Sus scrofa: one gene and its partner. The protein of the gene in region 2 interacts with the protein of the main gene of each other region in a pairwise test. Links are inferred from orthologs where the notes say so. Each region holds a gene or a part of one and is shown on either strand. Other genes may lie near its edges. The genes, in order: ATOX1 and FAM118A.

Evidence for each region.
Region 1: the proteins of FAM118A (region 2) and ATOX1 interact in binary tests that used the Homo sapiens proteins (3 or more experiments, as listed by UniProt). The two-hybrid records come from large-scale screens. The link is inferred for Sus scrofa from reciprocal best matches to the Homo sapiens genes FAM118A and ATOX1.

Annotation. Positions count from the first base shown.
Region 1 is NC_010458.4:71,295,828-71,304,192, reverse strand, and holds the start of ATOX1 (copper transport protein ATOX1), read right to left. Parts: upstream 4,873-8,365; 5' UTR 4,764-4,872; coding exon 4,758-4,763; intron 1-4,757. UniProt on the Homo sapiens protein: Binds and deliver cytosolic copper to the copper ATPase proteins. May be important in cellular antioxidant defense.
Region 2 is NC_010447.5:4,062,289-4,069,882, forward strand, and holds the end of FAM118A (protein FAM118A), read right to left. Parts: intron 4,861-7,594; exon of another isoform or gene 4,643-4,860; coding exon of another isoform or gene 4,541-4,642; intron 3,710-4,540; coding exon 3,603-3,709; 3' UTR 3,106-3,602; downstream 1-3,105. Other genes in the region: SMC1B (structural maintenance of chromosomes protein 1B), read left to right, coding at 2,977-3,087, 4,541-4,642.

The DNA of each region.
Region 1 (8,365 bases), on a different chromosome or scaffold from region 2:
GTGGAAGCGGCCCAAAGAAATAGCAAAAAGACAAAAAAAAGTTAGCTACTGAATTAGTCTTGCTGTGGTGCAATGAGATCTGTGGCATCACTGCAGTGCCAGGATCCAGGTTCGATCCCCAGCCCTGCACTGTGGGTTAAAGGATTCAGTGTTGCCACAGCTACGGGATAGGTTGCGACTGTGGCTTGGATCTGATTCCTGGCCTGGGAACTCCACATACCTTGGGGCAGTCCAAAAAATAATTATTATTATTATCAGTTTGTTCTTCTTCCCTCTTTTCTGTCCCTTAAAAAAAAAAAAAAACCTATGGCTACATTTTTCTTTCTCTCTTTCTGCCACAGTGTGCTTGATGTGGGATCTCAGTTGCCACACCAGGGACTGAACCCAGGCCACAGCAGTGAAACTGTAGAATCCTAACCACTAAACCACCAGAGAATGGACTCCCAAAAAGCTATGGCTACATTTTTCATGGAGCATTTCAAATCTATTACCTTAGTTAGAATTCTGGGCACAGCACTGTATCTTGGTGGAAGACCCCAGTCCCCTTATTTCTACCAAAAGGGCATTAGCCAATTCCATTGTCTCACCCTCAGTGGACATCAAGGATCACAGGGGAACTTGGGGACCACTCAGCTCTGCAGGCAGCTGCCTCCGTTGGCTCTGTGTGCCCTGGGACTCTCCATTTTTTAATCCACTGGGGAGAGACAGAGGGGTGAGCCCACACACCTGAGAAAAACTGGTCTAAATGGCTTCTCAGGCTCTTTCCAAGTCTCAAAACATCCTTGGAAAATCCCTGGATCCGGATTTTCATCATGCTCTACAAGGGAAACTGAGGCCAAGAGTTAGGCAGTTGGGTTTTCCTGCACTGAATTACACACAGCCGTCGTTACATAACAAGGAGACTGCTATTTCACTGGGGCCAAATCTGCGAAACCTGCCGTAAAGAAAATGGTTTTTTCTGTTCGTCTAGTTTGAACGCCTCTGATTCCTTCCGCTCGTTTTGTGACTATTCAACAAATTTTGAAAATAAGGATTTCAGGTGAGAATTCCAAAATCTTGTCTTTAACACACGGTCTTCAGACCGACAGTAACAGCATCGCGCGGGAGCTTGTCATTAACACAGACGCTCAGGTCGCACTCCAAGCCTCCTGAATCAGAATCCTCTTTTTTTTTTTCTTTTTAGGGCCACACCTACAGCATATGGAAGTTCCAAGGATAGGGGTCTAATCAGAGCTACAGCTGCCAGCCCCAGCCGCAGCCACAGCAACACCAGATCCGAGCCACATCTGTGACCTACACCGCAGCTCACAGCAACACAGGATCCTTATCCCACTGAGTGAGGCCAGGGATCCAACCCACATCCTCATGGATACTGGTTGGGTTCTTAACCCACTGAGCCATGATGGGAACTCCAGAATCCTCATTTTTAACAGGACACACAGCTCATTCCTGCCCACACTATAGTTTGAGATGCTGCTGTGGAATACAAAGGGGGAAACTACAGCTTGCCTGCAACCTGGTTTTATAGTTTCGTGGGAACAGAGCTAAGCGTACTCCTTTACTGTCATGCCAGAAGGACAGAGTTGCAGGGTCGTAACAGACCATGTGGATCACGAAGCCTTAGGTATTTACTATCTGGCCCTTGAAGAAAAAGTCTGCTGTCCTTGCTCTAGAATGATGGTCCGCAAGATTTGTTAATGGCTTGCACCTGTATACCCAGCCAAAGCTGTAATGGGTTTGCAAGACCAACATAAAACCCAAATCTATTGAGCGACCCCTTTACGAAATGCTCTTTATATAGTAACCAAGTCAGTCCTTGCCCAACCAGGTAAGGGAGCTAGTCACCCTACTGCACTTAGGAGAAAACCGAGGTTCCAGGGGTTAGCTAAGCTGCCCAGTCACGGGGTGGATATGTGCTGAGGCTGGGATGTGAACCCAGGCTTTCCCCGCTCCAGGACATCTTGCTGGTTCTGGACCCGCAAACAGCAGTGCCATCCCCCACAACCGATTCTCTAAGCAGGAGCCCTGAGTGGGGGGCACCTTGTGAAGGAGCACACGTTTTTGCTGCCCAAGGAGCCAAAGTCAACGGATCTCTGAAGCTCTCTGCAGCTGGCTACAGAGAGCAGGTCTCCTTTCATCCTGCCTAGGACAGAGGTCAGTGACAGGGGATGGGTTACCGCCAATATAATTCAATGCTCTCCTCCTCCTCCACCTCTGAGCTACCAAAGGAAACGGGGGCAGCGGAAAGTCTAAACGAGCAGCGTGATCCTTCCTTTACAGAGAATCCCAAGACTGGCCCCACCACGGAGTGCTTGACTTTGCAGAGTCCCAGCCCCTCAGAGCCTCCACTCTGTCACCTATAAAACAGGTCCTATAAAGTCAATGAAAGAGATTCTTAAAGTGAATCTCAGAATGGGAAGGACAGGAATGGAATGGGGTCACATTGTCTCGCCATCACCACCTGTCCTCTCCGCCTCAAGGAAAATCTTTCTCAAATATTTGGGAATTTAGTCTTTGAACACTATGATGTCTGGGAATTTACTAATAGTAATATTAGAGGAGTTCCCATCATGGCTCAAATCCAACTAGTGTCCATGAGGATGCGGGTTCAATTCCTGGTCTCACTCAGTGGGTTAAGGATCCGGTGTAGCCGTGAGCTATGGTGTAGGTCGCAGATGCAGCTTGGATCCTGCATTGCTGTGGCTGTGACAGAGGCCGGCAGCTGCAGCTCCGACTGGACCCCTAGTCAGGGAACTTTCATGTGTCGCAGGTTCAGCCCGAAAAATACACACACACACACACACACATATATATATATTAGAGTGCCTACCATGTGGGTCAGCCATTGTCCATGCATTACCTTGTTTAATCATCAAAACAAACCCTTGAGGTAAATATTATCCTTTCTTGACATGACATTAGGGTATTCACTCAAGGTGATAAAGCTACTAAGTAGCAGGGGCTAGTCTGGATACAGTATCCAAAGCCTAAACTCTTATCATGTGGTCCTTGTTAAAATGGAGTTGAAACCTGCCTGCCTGTAGTCCCACCTGACTCATTCCAGGTCTGCACAAAAGCTGCCATTTCTTGGGGACTAACTATGTCAGTAGCTAGGCTATGTATTTTACTGGCATTTTCCCAGTTAATACTAAAAACAGCTCTGTGAGGTCAGTTTTTTTAATCCCCATTTTACAGATGAGGGAATCAAGGCACAGAGAAGGAAGGTAGCTTGCCCAAGGTCACCGAGTCAGCGAACAGGAACCCAGATTTTCCAGAGGTTTCTGAGATCTCAAGTGTTTGTCAGAGAAACCTCTCAGGTGACACACTCTTCCCCTTGCAGTTTTGGTGACAGTCCCTTGACTAATAATCCTTCCTTCAGCTGTCCCTCTCGTGACTGTGGTGACAAGTACCCTCTTCACTCTCATCACCCACTCTGGAGGGTCTTTGGCTTGTCAGAATCCCCAGAAGTGAACAGAGAGCACTGACCCTCAAGCTGGCCTTTCCCTCTCTCCCGTCCCCCACAAAAACCTGGTAGCCTTCACTATTCTAGTCCCAGGGTGATTAATGCCATCCTCTGTCACTGCTGCAGGCAGATTTGTTCAACTGGGAGGGCTAATTCTGTCAGGTTCTTTGTCCAGACTTTGTGTTGTCTGAGGATTTGTCTCAAGGCACCTGGCGAGACCCAAAGGAAATGACACCTGAGATGTTTGTGGCGTGGCCCAGGGGGCCTCTGGCTCACCTGTCAGCTCCCCAAAGCTAGGCTGCTAAGACACAGAGCATCTGTGGGACACCTCTGGGTACCCACTTGGAGCAGAGCCATAAACTAGGAACCCTGGGGGATGTCATGTGCTAAACACATGACTCTAGCCAGGATCTCCAGGTTGCAACTAGGATCAGTGCTTCCTCCCAAGCCGGTATGACTACTTTTGTTGGGCACTTGGCTTGTGGTCAGGCCAGGAGAGACTGCGAGACAGTAGATAAAGGGCTTTATCCTGGCTGCACTCAACTCCCAACACCACCTTGAATAAACCATTGGGCTTTAATTTGCTTAATCTGGAAAAGGCCTTAATTTTTCATCTACAAAATGAGGCCATGAGCAACCGAGTATACTCGCTAAGACGGAGTGAGCTGCAAAGGCGGGCTACGACCTGCGCATTCGGCCCCAAACGCTGCCACTGAGCAAGTGATCAATTGTGGGGCGGTCCCTGAACCTCTCTGGAGTTCATGAGTTCAGATTCATGAACCGACCAGGAGCAAAGGTTAAAAGCACTGTCTCCATTCGGTGTCGCCTGGCGCTGACCTGAAAGAGTGGGCAGGGGGAAGGGAAGAGAAACACGGATCTCTGAACGCCTTCCCTGTCCCAAGGTCCAGAGCCATCCCCGAGGGAACGGGCATCCAGGCCCCGCCCAGTTCCGGTTCCGGATCACCCTGCGGGACCTCCGTCGACGCTGCCCGTCTCTGGGCCTCAGTTTCCCCTTTTATACAAGGAAGGTTTGGATTGGTACTCGCTTGGAGCCCTTGCAGCTTCGGTGTTCTGACACCTGACTCCTAGATAAAAATCCCTTGGGATTCGATTTTCTTGGAGGGTCGCAGAAGCAAAAGCTGGGGCCTGGGCGGGGAGGGGATGAGAAGAGGGGCGACAGCTCCGGCCGCAGCCAGAGCCCTTGAAGAGCGACCTGTGGCCAAGCCGCAGTGCAGACGAGGCGCAAGCGGTGGGCCGCGGGTCTGCGCGGGGCGAAGGCGGCGTGACCACTTACCGGCATGACTGAGGACGTGGTGGCCGTGGCGACGCCTCCCGCGGCTCTGAGCGCTGGCGCGGCTGCGCTTCCGGGTGCGCGCGCCCCGCAGAAGCCGCTCTTTGGTCCCGGCCCCGCCCCCTCCGGCCGGGCCTCCGGCTAAGCCACGCCCCCCCGGCCTCGCGGGCGGGCAGCGGCCTGGAGGCTGTTGTCCTCTCCGCCTCTTTCCGGCCGGGATGGAGCCCCTGGCCACTTGCCACGTCTGTGCTAGGCGGTGGGAGGGACCTCGGCTAGCCTGCCCCGCATGCGGACCGTGGTTAGACCGCCTACCCTTTGTCAGGCATGTATTAGGGGCTGGAAACTCCCCCCACCACCCCCGCAAAGGAACCACCTCATTTGTTCACCCGTTCAGTATTTATTGCCAGCCCTGGGCTGGCCCTGTGCGAGGCATCCAAGATGCAGGTATGGAAAGATACAGCTTAGTAGGGAGCCAGGGAAGCAGGAGATGACGATGCAAGATAAAGCAGTGTTAAAGGAAGGAGCCGTGTCTCAGTGCGAGCGGAGAAAAGACCTCTAACTCGGACTGGAGGGTGAAGGCGGTTCGTGAAGTGAGGAGGCTTCCAGAGGCGGAAATCTTCGTCCATCTGTAGAAGGAAGAAGAGTTATTTGGGGAGGAAGGAGGCAGAGGAAACGGCATAGGGCATAGCTTGGAGGAGGCAGACTGAGAAGCAACTATTGAGAGAGATGGAGAAATGACACGGCAAAGACATGAGACCCATAGCCATGGGTAAAGACAGACAGAGGCGGAGATGCTCTAAGACACAGAAGGTGTGTCAAGCCCCAGGTCTTGATACACACGCACGCACACACACACACACACACACACACACACACACACGAGTACCAGGCTGTTTCTGTCCTTAAAATATCCAAGGAGCCTACGTCTATGTTAGCAGTTTCAAAGATCTGTCATTGGAGTTCCGTTGTGGCCCAGCGGGTTAAGAACGGTCCCCTGTGACGCAGTGAGTTTGATCCCTGTCCTCTCTCGGTGGGTTAAGGATCCAGCGTTGCTGCAAGCCACTGCATAGGCGGAAGACGTGGCTGGGATCTGGCATTGCTGTGGCTGTGGTATAGACCAGCAGCTGCCGCTCCAATTCGACCCTTAGTGTGGGAATATCTGTAGGTTGCAGGTGCTGCTGTTAAAAAGAAAAACAAAAGCAACAAAAAAACAAATTCGTGTATTTTTGTTCCTCTCCTCCTCCTTGTTTAGGAAACCACTGGTTAAGGAAAACTATACTCTAATACACAAAACCTTTTTGAGAAAGTGTGCTGGCTACTGTGTCTTAGTTCCAATTCATCATTTTTGCCTGCTTGTGAAAATCTGGACCCTTTGAAGATTACTTTTGCTTTGCCAAATGGCAGGATGTTAAGCTTTGCCAGTAAAGGCTCTGGAGAGACACTGGAGGAGGAAAGGTTTTCCTTTTTTTCTTTTTTTTTTTAGAGTTTTGTAACATTTTTATTTTTTGGTCTACACCCACAGCATTGTGGAACTTCCTGGGCCAGGGATTGAACCCTCACTACAGCAGTGACCTGGGCCACTGCAGTGACAATACCAGATCCTTAACCCACTGTGCCACAAGGGAACTCCTGTAACATTTATTTTTTTTAATTTTTTATTTAAAAATTTTTTTCAATGAATTAAGGTTTTCCTTTCTTACTCCAGTGTGCTCAGTCTCCAGGCTCTTGGAGTATCTGTGACTGGCCTCTGCCTAGCTTCTGAGGATGGCTTCTCCAGCACCTGGTTCCTGCTGTGGAAAAGGACCAGCAGTACATGATAGGCAGCAGTTCCTCCAGTACCTGTCCTGCTTACGTGCTTTCATAGCAGAGGAGTAACTCCAATAAGATGATTCTCTGTGAACAGCTTTCTCCAGCATCCTAGAGGGCAGTTTTCCAGCCTAGTGGGTGACCTTCTAGCAAGTTCCACCACCATGGCATCATAGACACTCTGTCCAGTAAGCCACAAGGCTTGGATCGCAGCCTGGATGTGTGGAAGCAGGATTCTTCCTGAGCACCCCATTTCATTATTTTAGCCCTATGGGCAGTAGCTGTGCCTCATATCTGCTACTCCTATATTCTTTAATAAGATTCTTTTTTCTTCTTACTAGCCAATCCTTCATTACTAGAGTCTCATTATAATCTTTAAAGTTTTCTTTCCTTTTTTTTTTTCGGTCTTTTTGCCTTTTCTAGGGCCTCTTCCCATGGCATATGGAGTTTCCCAGGCTAGGGGTCTAATTGGAGCTGTAGCCACCGGCCTCCACCACAGCCACAGCAACACAAGATCCGAGCCATGTCTGCGACCTACACCACAGCTCACGGCAATGACAGATCCTTAACCCACTGAGTGAGGCCAGGGATCGAACCTGCAACCTCATGGTTCCTAGTCGGATTCGTTAACCACTGCGCCATGACAGGAGCTCCATAATCTTTAAAGTTTTCTTGTTCAAATGGTAGAGTAGTTTCTCTCTCCTGACTGGCCTCGGACTCAGGGACTGACAAGATGCCTATTTCAGTTTAGGGAAGAGGATAACGGTTCTACCCTTGGTCTAAGTTCAAGGAAAACAAAAGAGAAGGGATAAGTCTAAACCAGGACCAGTCGCTGGCTCACACTGGCCCTTGATGACTAGGCCCATCGGCATGGTGAGCGGGAGGGGCATATGGAGATTAGAGACCAGCCTAGTCTGCTAGGGCCCCTCCTAAAAAATACCACAGACTGGGTCGCTTGAGCAACAGAAAGTTATTGCTCATAGTTCTAGAAGATGGAAAGTCCAAGATCAGGATGGTGGCTGGTTCGATTTCTGATGAGAGCTCTCCTCCCAGCTTGCAGACAGCTCCCTTCTTGCTGTGTCCCCACAGGGGAAAGCCAGCTAGCTCTGGTATCTTCCTCGTCTTATACGGGCACCGGCTCTATCATATTAGGGCCCTGCTGTGTTAACTTTTATCACCTCCTCACAGGCCCTACCTCCAAACGCAGTCACATTAAGAGGTTAGGGCATCAATTATGAATTTTTTTTTTCTTTTTACCTCCACATCTGTGGCATATGGAAGTTCCCAGGCTAGGGGTCAAATTGGAGCTACAGCTGCTGGCCACAGCAACACCAGTTCCGAGGTGCATCTGTGACCTTCGTCACAGCTTGTGGCAATGCCAGAGCCTTAACCCACAGAGTTCAGGGATCAAACCTGCATCCTCACAGAGACAATGTCAGGTCCTTAATCTGCTGAGCCACATTGGGAACTCCCAGCTATGGATTTTGGGGGAATGAATACATTTTAGTCCATAACAGAGCCATGGAGACCAGAGTTTGAATCTTAGCCCCATCATTTGCCAGCTGTGAAACCTTGGACTGATTACTTTACCTCTCTAAGTCTTAATATCACTCACAAAAGGGGATAGTCAGGGTAACTGTATAGTTTTTTATCTGAACTTTAGAGGGTGAAAGAGGATGCCATTAATGATGCCAAGGCAACAGCCTTATATCATGACTGTTCCAGGGCATATGATTCCGTCAAAGAAACTTAATCTGTAGTAGTGTTTGGAGGAATAAATATAGCAATGGAGTTCCCGTTGTGGC
Region 2 (7,594 bases):
GAGCCATGGTGTAGGTTGCAGACGCGGCTCGGATTCTGTGTTGCTGTGGCTGTGGTGTAGGCCAGCAGCTGTGGTGTAGGCCGGCGGCTGTAGCTCTGATTGAAACCCTAGCCTGGGAACCTCCACATGCCTTTTTTAGGTGCAACCCTGAAAAAGAAAAGGTATTCGAATCAGTAGGGAAGAGGTAAAACTGCCATTATATGCAGAATGACATGATACTGTATGCAGGAAGCCCTAAAGACTCCAGCAAGAGCTACTAGAACCATTCAGCAGGTAGCAGGATATGAGGTTCACTCACAGAAATCTGCCGCATTACTTTACAGTGGCAATGAAATGGGAAAGGGGATGTAAACAGTGACTTCCAAAATCCCATAAAGAAACAGTCCTTGGAAATGAGCCTTACTAAGGAGGTGAGGGACTTACATGCTAAGAACTACAAAGCATTAAGAAAATTGAAGATGGTTCAAAGAAATGAGAAGATTTGAAGAATCTGAAAAAATTTGAAGACTTAATATTGTTAAAAGGGCCATTTTACTACCCAAAGCAACCTACGATTTTTTTTTTTTTTCTGTCTTTTTGCCTTTTCTAGGGCCGCTCCTGCGGCATATGGAGGTTCCCAGGCTAGGGGTCCAATCGGAGCTGTAGCCACTGGCCTACGCCAGAGCCACAGCAACGTGGGATCCGAGCCACATCTGCAACCTACACCACAGCTCCCGGCAACGCCGGATCCTTAACCCACTGAGCAAGGCCAGGGATCGAATCCACAACCTCATTGTTCCTCATCGGAGTCGTTCACCACTGCGCCCCACGGGAACTCCCAGACTACAGATTTAATGTGATCCCCATCAAATTACCCGTGATACTTTTCACAGAACTTAATAATCGTAAAATGTATGTGGAACCATAAAAGACCCATAATTGCCAAAGCAATCCTGAGAAAAAAAGAATAAAGCAGAAGGCAGAACCCTCCCAGACTGCAGACAATACTACAAAGCTGCAGTTATTCAGAGTTATTGGTGCAAGGAGTTACTGCCGCAGCTCAGCGGTAACAAACCCGACTAGTTTCCATGAGGATGTGGATTCAATCCCTGGCCTCGATCAGGGGGTTAAGGATCTGGCGTTCCTATGGTTGTGATGTAGGCCAGCAGCTACAGCTCTGATTCAGCCCCTAGCCTGGGAACCTCCATATGCCGTGGGTGCCTCCTTAAAAAAAGAAAGGAAGAAAGTTATTGGCACAAAACGGACATAGGGGTCAATGGAACAGAATAGAGCCCAGGAGTTCCTGTTGTGGCTCAGCAGGTTAAGAACCTGACTAGTATCCATGAGGATGCAGGTTCCATCCCTGGTCTCACTCAGTGGGTTAAGGATCCAGCGTTGCTGTGAGCTGGTGTAGGTCACAGAGGTGGCTCGGATCTGTCGTGGCTGTGGCTGTGGTGAAGGCCAGCAGCTGTAGCTCCGATTTGACCTCTAGCCTGGGAACTTCCACATGCCACAAGTGCGGCCCTAAAAATCAAAAAACAAAACCAAAAAAAAAAAACACCTAAAAATAAAGTTGCCATATGATTCAGTAATCCCACTTCTGGGCGTACACCCAGACAATTATAATTTGACTTTTTTTTGGGGTCTTTTTAGGGCCACATCCATGGCATATGGAGGCTCCCAGGCTAGGAGTCCAATCAGAGCTATAGCTGCTGGCCTACACCACAGCCACAGCAATGCCAGATCCGAGCAGTGTCCGCAACCTACACCACAGCTCATGCCAACTCGAGATCCTTAACCCACAAGGCCAGGGATCAAACCTACATCCTCATGGATGCTCGTCGGATTCGTTAACTGCTGAGCCATGACAGGAACTCTGATAATTTGAAAAGATACATGTACCCTGCTGCTCACAGCAGCACTATTTACAGTAGCCAAGACATGGAAACAACCTAAATGTCCACTGACAAAGGGACGAATAAAGGTGTATATATGTGTACACACACACACACACACACAATGGACTATTACTCAGCCATAAAAAGAATGAAATAATGCCATTTGCATCAACGTGAATGGACCTAGAGATTACCACACTGAACTAACCAACAAAACAGAAACGGACTTCCTCAAAGTCCTGTATCGCGGTGGCTACCTACTCGGCACCATGGTGCCTCCAGTGCTGGAGTTCCTTCTGCCTGTGAATTCAGCCTGTAGCCCAAATTCACCTCAGCCGGGGCCTCATTCCTCAACCGAAGTGGCCATTCCTGCCTCCAGAATGAGTGTTCTCAGTATCTTGGCTGCAGTCAGGCCAATACACGGAGAAGGCACACTCTAGGCTTGCAGAGAGATCCAGGGAATCGGCAAGCATCTTGTTAAAACTGTGATTTGAGTCTTAAGTTCTTTATCGTTCTCCAGATTCTGAGTAGAGATTTTCACCAAGACGCATTTCTAGCCAGTCTGTTTTGTTCTTACTCCATTCCTTGGAATTAAGGCTCCTGAAGGAGCCACTGAATTCCCCGCTCACCAAATGAGTTGATCATGGACAATGAATACATATATAATTGCCATATTTCTCCCATCTTCAGCTTTTGAGTTGGCAACAGAGGAAGCTGGGAGCTTAAAATACCAGCCCTTCTTCACCCTCATCAAATACCCAAGTGGTAGTTTTATCTTGTTGTAGAAGTTGGTTGCATATTCACATGATAGTCTAGGTTAGATGTTTCTCTTAAAAATATTTAGGTTTTCAGTCAGATTTAATGAGGTTTCTAGTTTTCTAATCTCTTATTTTAGAATCTGAGCTATCTCCGCTTCTGCGGTTGCAGTGACTCCCTGCCTGAATCACCAGGAAGGCAGGCAGGCAGGCGTCCTGTCAGACTCAGACGGACAGGGCCTGTTCTCAGGGCCCCCAGGAAGGCCGCCTTTCCTTACTGAAGGGCCAGGTGCCTTCTGCATCCTTACTGATGGGACGGGGTTGACGCTTTTGGTTCCTCCCAGGTGTCAAGTTACATCAAGGAGCAGACTCAGGAACAGTTTCAGATGATAATTATTTCCCTGAAAGAAGAGTTCTATTCCAAAGCTGATGCGCTGATAGGCATCTATCCAGAGGTAAAGACACGGCAGAGGGGAGGAGGAAAATCAGCCCGGGGCGGCGGGGGGGTCCCAGCAACAGCATCTCAAGTTCCTCACAGAGTGTAGATACTGTTTGATTTCAGCAGTGACAGATATAGGCTGGGGTGATTTTTTAATCAATAAGACTTAAAAGGAACTACTCGGATGTTTTTCTGTGGCCGTATACAGAAAGGTAAGATCTATTTTAAGTGAAAAAGCCAGTTGAAAATTGCAGAACAGTAAGTATGATAGTTTTGCTTGTAAAATAATAGTACATATTAACTTACAGGAATTAGACTGCTAGTATTATATTTCCTATTTCTGTAAGGTCTGAATGTTTTAGGCAAATAGAAATGCAACATGGTAGAACTAACAGGGACCCATTTATCCTCCAAAAGTACCAGAGGAAAAAACAAAGAAATTGACCACAAGTTCTCAGGTGCATCGTCATTCTAGAAGCCCTTGAAAATACTTACCTGCGCTAATGGAGCAGAGCAACTCATTCAGATCATTCAGTCCTTAGACAATTCGGTTTCACTTCCTGAGTCCTCCTTGAAGCCAAGATAAAATCCACTTCCCTCCCTGCGCCTACCTCCTGTCACGGCATCGCTGGAACACGCTGCAGGAGAGAAACGGGAATTCTCATTAGCAGTGCAGGACAGGAATAAAATCTCAGGCTCTGGCAGGCCCTGTCAGTTAGACCAGCGGGAGGCGGAAAGGTAAACAAGAGCATCAGCCTGGGACCTGAGGGCACACCCAGCGGTGAACAAGCCAGCGGTGGCGAGGGCCTGGACGGGGACAAGCATGCGAGGCTGGAAGGCAGAGGCCTGGGGCTCCGGGAGGAGGGCCAGGAGCAGGCTGGAGTCAGAGCTGCCCTGCAGATGCCGCTGACCTCTGCACTGGCCACGAGTGAGAGGTTGGAGCTCCCGTTGTGGCCCAGCGGTCAGGAGCCCAGCTAGGAAACGTGAGGATGCGGGTTCCGTCCCTGGCTTCACTCAGTGGGTCGAGGATCCGGCACGGCTGGGGCTGTGGTGTAGGCCGGCAGCTGTAGCTCTGAGTTGACGCCAAGCCTGGGGGCATCCATGTGCCATGGGTGCGACCCTAAAAAAAAAAAAAAGAAAAAGTGAAGAGGTGGCCATCTTTTATGTCAATGAATTTCCTTTACCAAAAGGGAGTCTTGTGCTTCGTTTTTAGTTTTTTCCTCCGTCTGCTGTTTCTCAGTAGCCTTTCATTTAAAACAATCCGTGTGTGAAAGGCCCGTTTGGGGTAGCAGAGCTGGTACATTTTGCCAGGTAACTCCAAAAACGAAATAGAGCTCATGTCAATGCAGACAGGCGATACGTTTGGCTGCAAGGAGGGTCCTTTTGCAAAGCTCAGTCCAGACTCACTGAGGGCCCTGACTTCACATCTGATGACAGGGACTGACGGTACTGTCTTGTCTCCGTTTCAGCAAGACGACTGCATGTTCAGCCGAGCTTTGACCCTGGACCTTTCTCAGTATCCAGAAACCGAGGGGAGAGAGAGCAGCAGGAGGCAGCGGGAGCCCCGTTAGGCCTCAGCGCGATGGTAGCGGTGGGCAGAGTGCTGCGTGGTCAGGCCAACCCTTGTTCCGTTCTCACCCCCACGTTCCATCTACCTGACAGACTTTGGGAGCAAGCAAAAGCTTGTCCCCCGCCAAAGATGCTTGCCTCTGTTACAAAGTGTTCAGGCCCCACTCCAGTAAATAGCATCTCCTGTGCGTTAGCTCTGAAAACATAGTTTTAACTTCCATTTTGAAATCCAGTCAAAGTTTTTTAATCCGGCATCACTCACCTTTGCTGCGATGTTGCCTTGCACAGTTTAAGTAAACCTTTAAGAGAAGAAACTTGGTTTCTAAGTGTGCTAGTTACACGGTATTGGACCTGTGTCTTAGGGAAAATTATTTCGGAGGGACTGAAACCAGTACTGAAAGTATCAATAAAAATAGTCTAATTTCAAACGTCTGCACTCCGTAATTTTAGAAATAAAGGATTTAAGGTGAAATTGAGTTGTTTCAGAGTTCCTGTTGTGGCTCGGCGGGGAAGAACCCCACGTGGTGTCTGTGAGGACGTGGGTTCAATCCCCGGCCTCCCTCGGTAGGTTAAGGATCCGGGGTTGCTGTGATCTGCGGCAGAGGTTGCAGATGCAGCTCAGATCCAGTGCTGCTGTGGCTGTGATGTAGGCGGCAGCTGCAGCTCCCATTCAACCCTGGCCTAAGAACTTCCATATGCGGTAGATGTGGTCATAAAAAGAAAAAACAGACAGAAGGACACAGGCTCTCCCAAGCAACAGCCCACTGCTCCGCTCGACTGCAGTGGTCCCTTCTCTCTGGGAGCCCCTGTACCACCGCCCAGGGATGCTCCAGTTCCTTATATGCGTTGGTAGGAATCCGCATACAGCCCACAGCCTCCCTTTAACCATCTCTGCATTGTTTATAGTGCCTGATACAGCGTAAATGTTTGTAAATAGTAGCCTATACACGGCAAATTCTAGATGGTTTTGGAACTTCCTGGAGTCTTTTTTTTTCCCAACTATTTTCAATCCAAGGTTGGTTGAATCCAAAGTTGCAGAGCTTTTTGGGAGTTCCCGTTGTGGCTCAGTGGTTAACGAATCCGACTAGGAACCATGAGGATGTGGGTTCGATCCCTGGCCTCGCTCAGTGGGTTAAGGATCCTGCGTTGCTGTGGCTCTGGCGTAGGCCGGTGGCTACAGCCCCAGTTAGACCCCTAGCCTGGGAACCTCCAAATTCCACGGGTGCGTCCCTAAAAAGACCAAAAAAAGGTGCAGTGTTTTCAATAGTACTTCATTTCCATTTAAAAATGGAAAAAGAAAGGAGTTCCCACCGTGGCTCAGTGGTTAACGAATCCAACTAGGAGCCCATGAGGTTGCGGGTTCAATCCCTGGCTTGGGGACCTGCATACGCCGTGGGAGCAGCCCTAGAAATGGCAAAAAGACAAATCAATAAATAAAAATGGAATAAAAAATGATAGTGGTGCTGTATTTAAGTGCCAATCAGGGAGTCGCCTCCTGAAGTAATGGAATCACCTTTGAACGACACTGTTCCCTGTAAACAAAATACACTCTGTGCCTAAGAAACAGATGGAAGTCACCCAAAAACCTGCTTCCTGCCCTCCCCCAGCCAACCTCTGAAGGCGTGAGGGCCAGAAGTCGCCCGCTTGTACCTTTTTCCAGTCCTGGTGGGCGCGACCTCCCTCTGCCTTGGAAGACATCAAACCAGCCCTTCGGTGCCACACGGCTTGGGGCAGACGCTGACCTCACCCCTGAGACTGCGGACCGTCAGAGGCCTTCAAAGCAGGGTCACTGCTCCGTCCAACACAGCAACCCTCATCCCGGAAAAGCGCCTGGCTACGCCAAGGCACCCGGCGGAAACCGCAGGGGGACAGCAACTGTGGGGCGGGGGCACCAACTCCCAACAAAAATGAACCTGGTAAGAAGCCGGCTTTATAGGGTTAAATGGTTAAAGGCACAGCTACACAGGACACAGGCGCCTCACCCCCAAACCGCCCGGAAGCTGACCTGGGAAAGGGGCGCCCCCGTGACGCTTGCTGCCGCACCAGTGCGGGTGGGGGCCGGAGGGCGGGCGGCCTGTCCCCCCAGGGCGCTGGGCAGCTGGCTGCAGCCTCCTGCTTTCCACCTGGAGCAGGTCCAGCCGCCTTCACGGGCCAGAGTCTTTCGGGCTTTGATGAGGCAGCAGAGGTTACCATACAGGTGTCTGGATGACCACATGAAACACAACCATTCAAGAATGTAAAACCTGGAGCTCCCGTCCTGGCGCAGGGGTTAACGACTCCGACTAGGAACCATGAGGTTGCGGGTTCGATCCCTGGCTTTGCTCAGTGGGTCAAGGATCCGGTGTTGCCGTGAGCTTGGTGTAGGTCGCAGGCTTGGCTCAGATCCCAAGTTGCTGTGGCTGTGGTGCAGGCCAGCAGCTACAGCTCTGATTGGACCCCTAGCCTGGGAACCTCCATATGCCACAGGTGCAGCCCTAGAAAAGGCAAAAAAAAAAAAAAACAATGTAAAACCTGGGGAGTTCCTGTAGTGGCGCAGCAGAAACGAATCCGACTAGGAATCATGAGGTGGCGGGTTCAATCCCTGGCCTCACTCAGTGGGTCAAGGATCCGGCGTTGCTGTGACCTGTGGTGTAGGTGTAGGCCGAGAGCTGTAGCTCTGATTGGACCCCTAGCCTGGGAACCTCCGAATGCCCCGGGTACAGCCCTGAAAGTAAAAAAAAGCAAAAAAAAAATGTAAAACCTGTTCTCTCTGAGGCAGCAAACAAGCCACGTTGTAGTCACGCCCTGACCCAGTTTCTCACAGACAAGATTAGCCACAGGTGGATGTGCTATGCTGACTGCTTTTTCTAATACATCAGTCATGTTGGAATAAATTTGTATTAAAAACAAAAATCAGGAGTTTCCGTCGTGGCGCAGTGGTTAACAAATCTGACTAGGAACTATGAGGTTGCGGG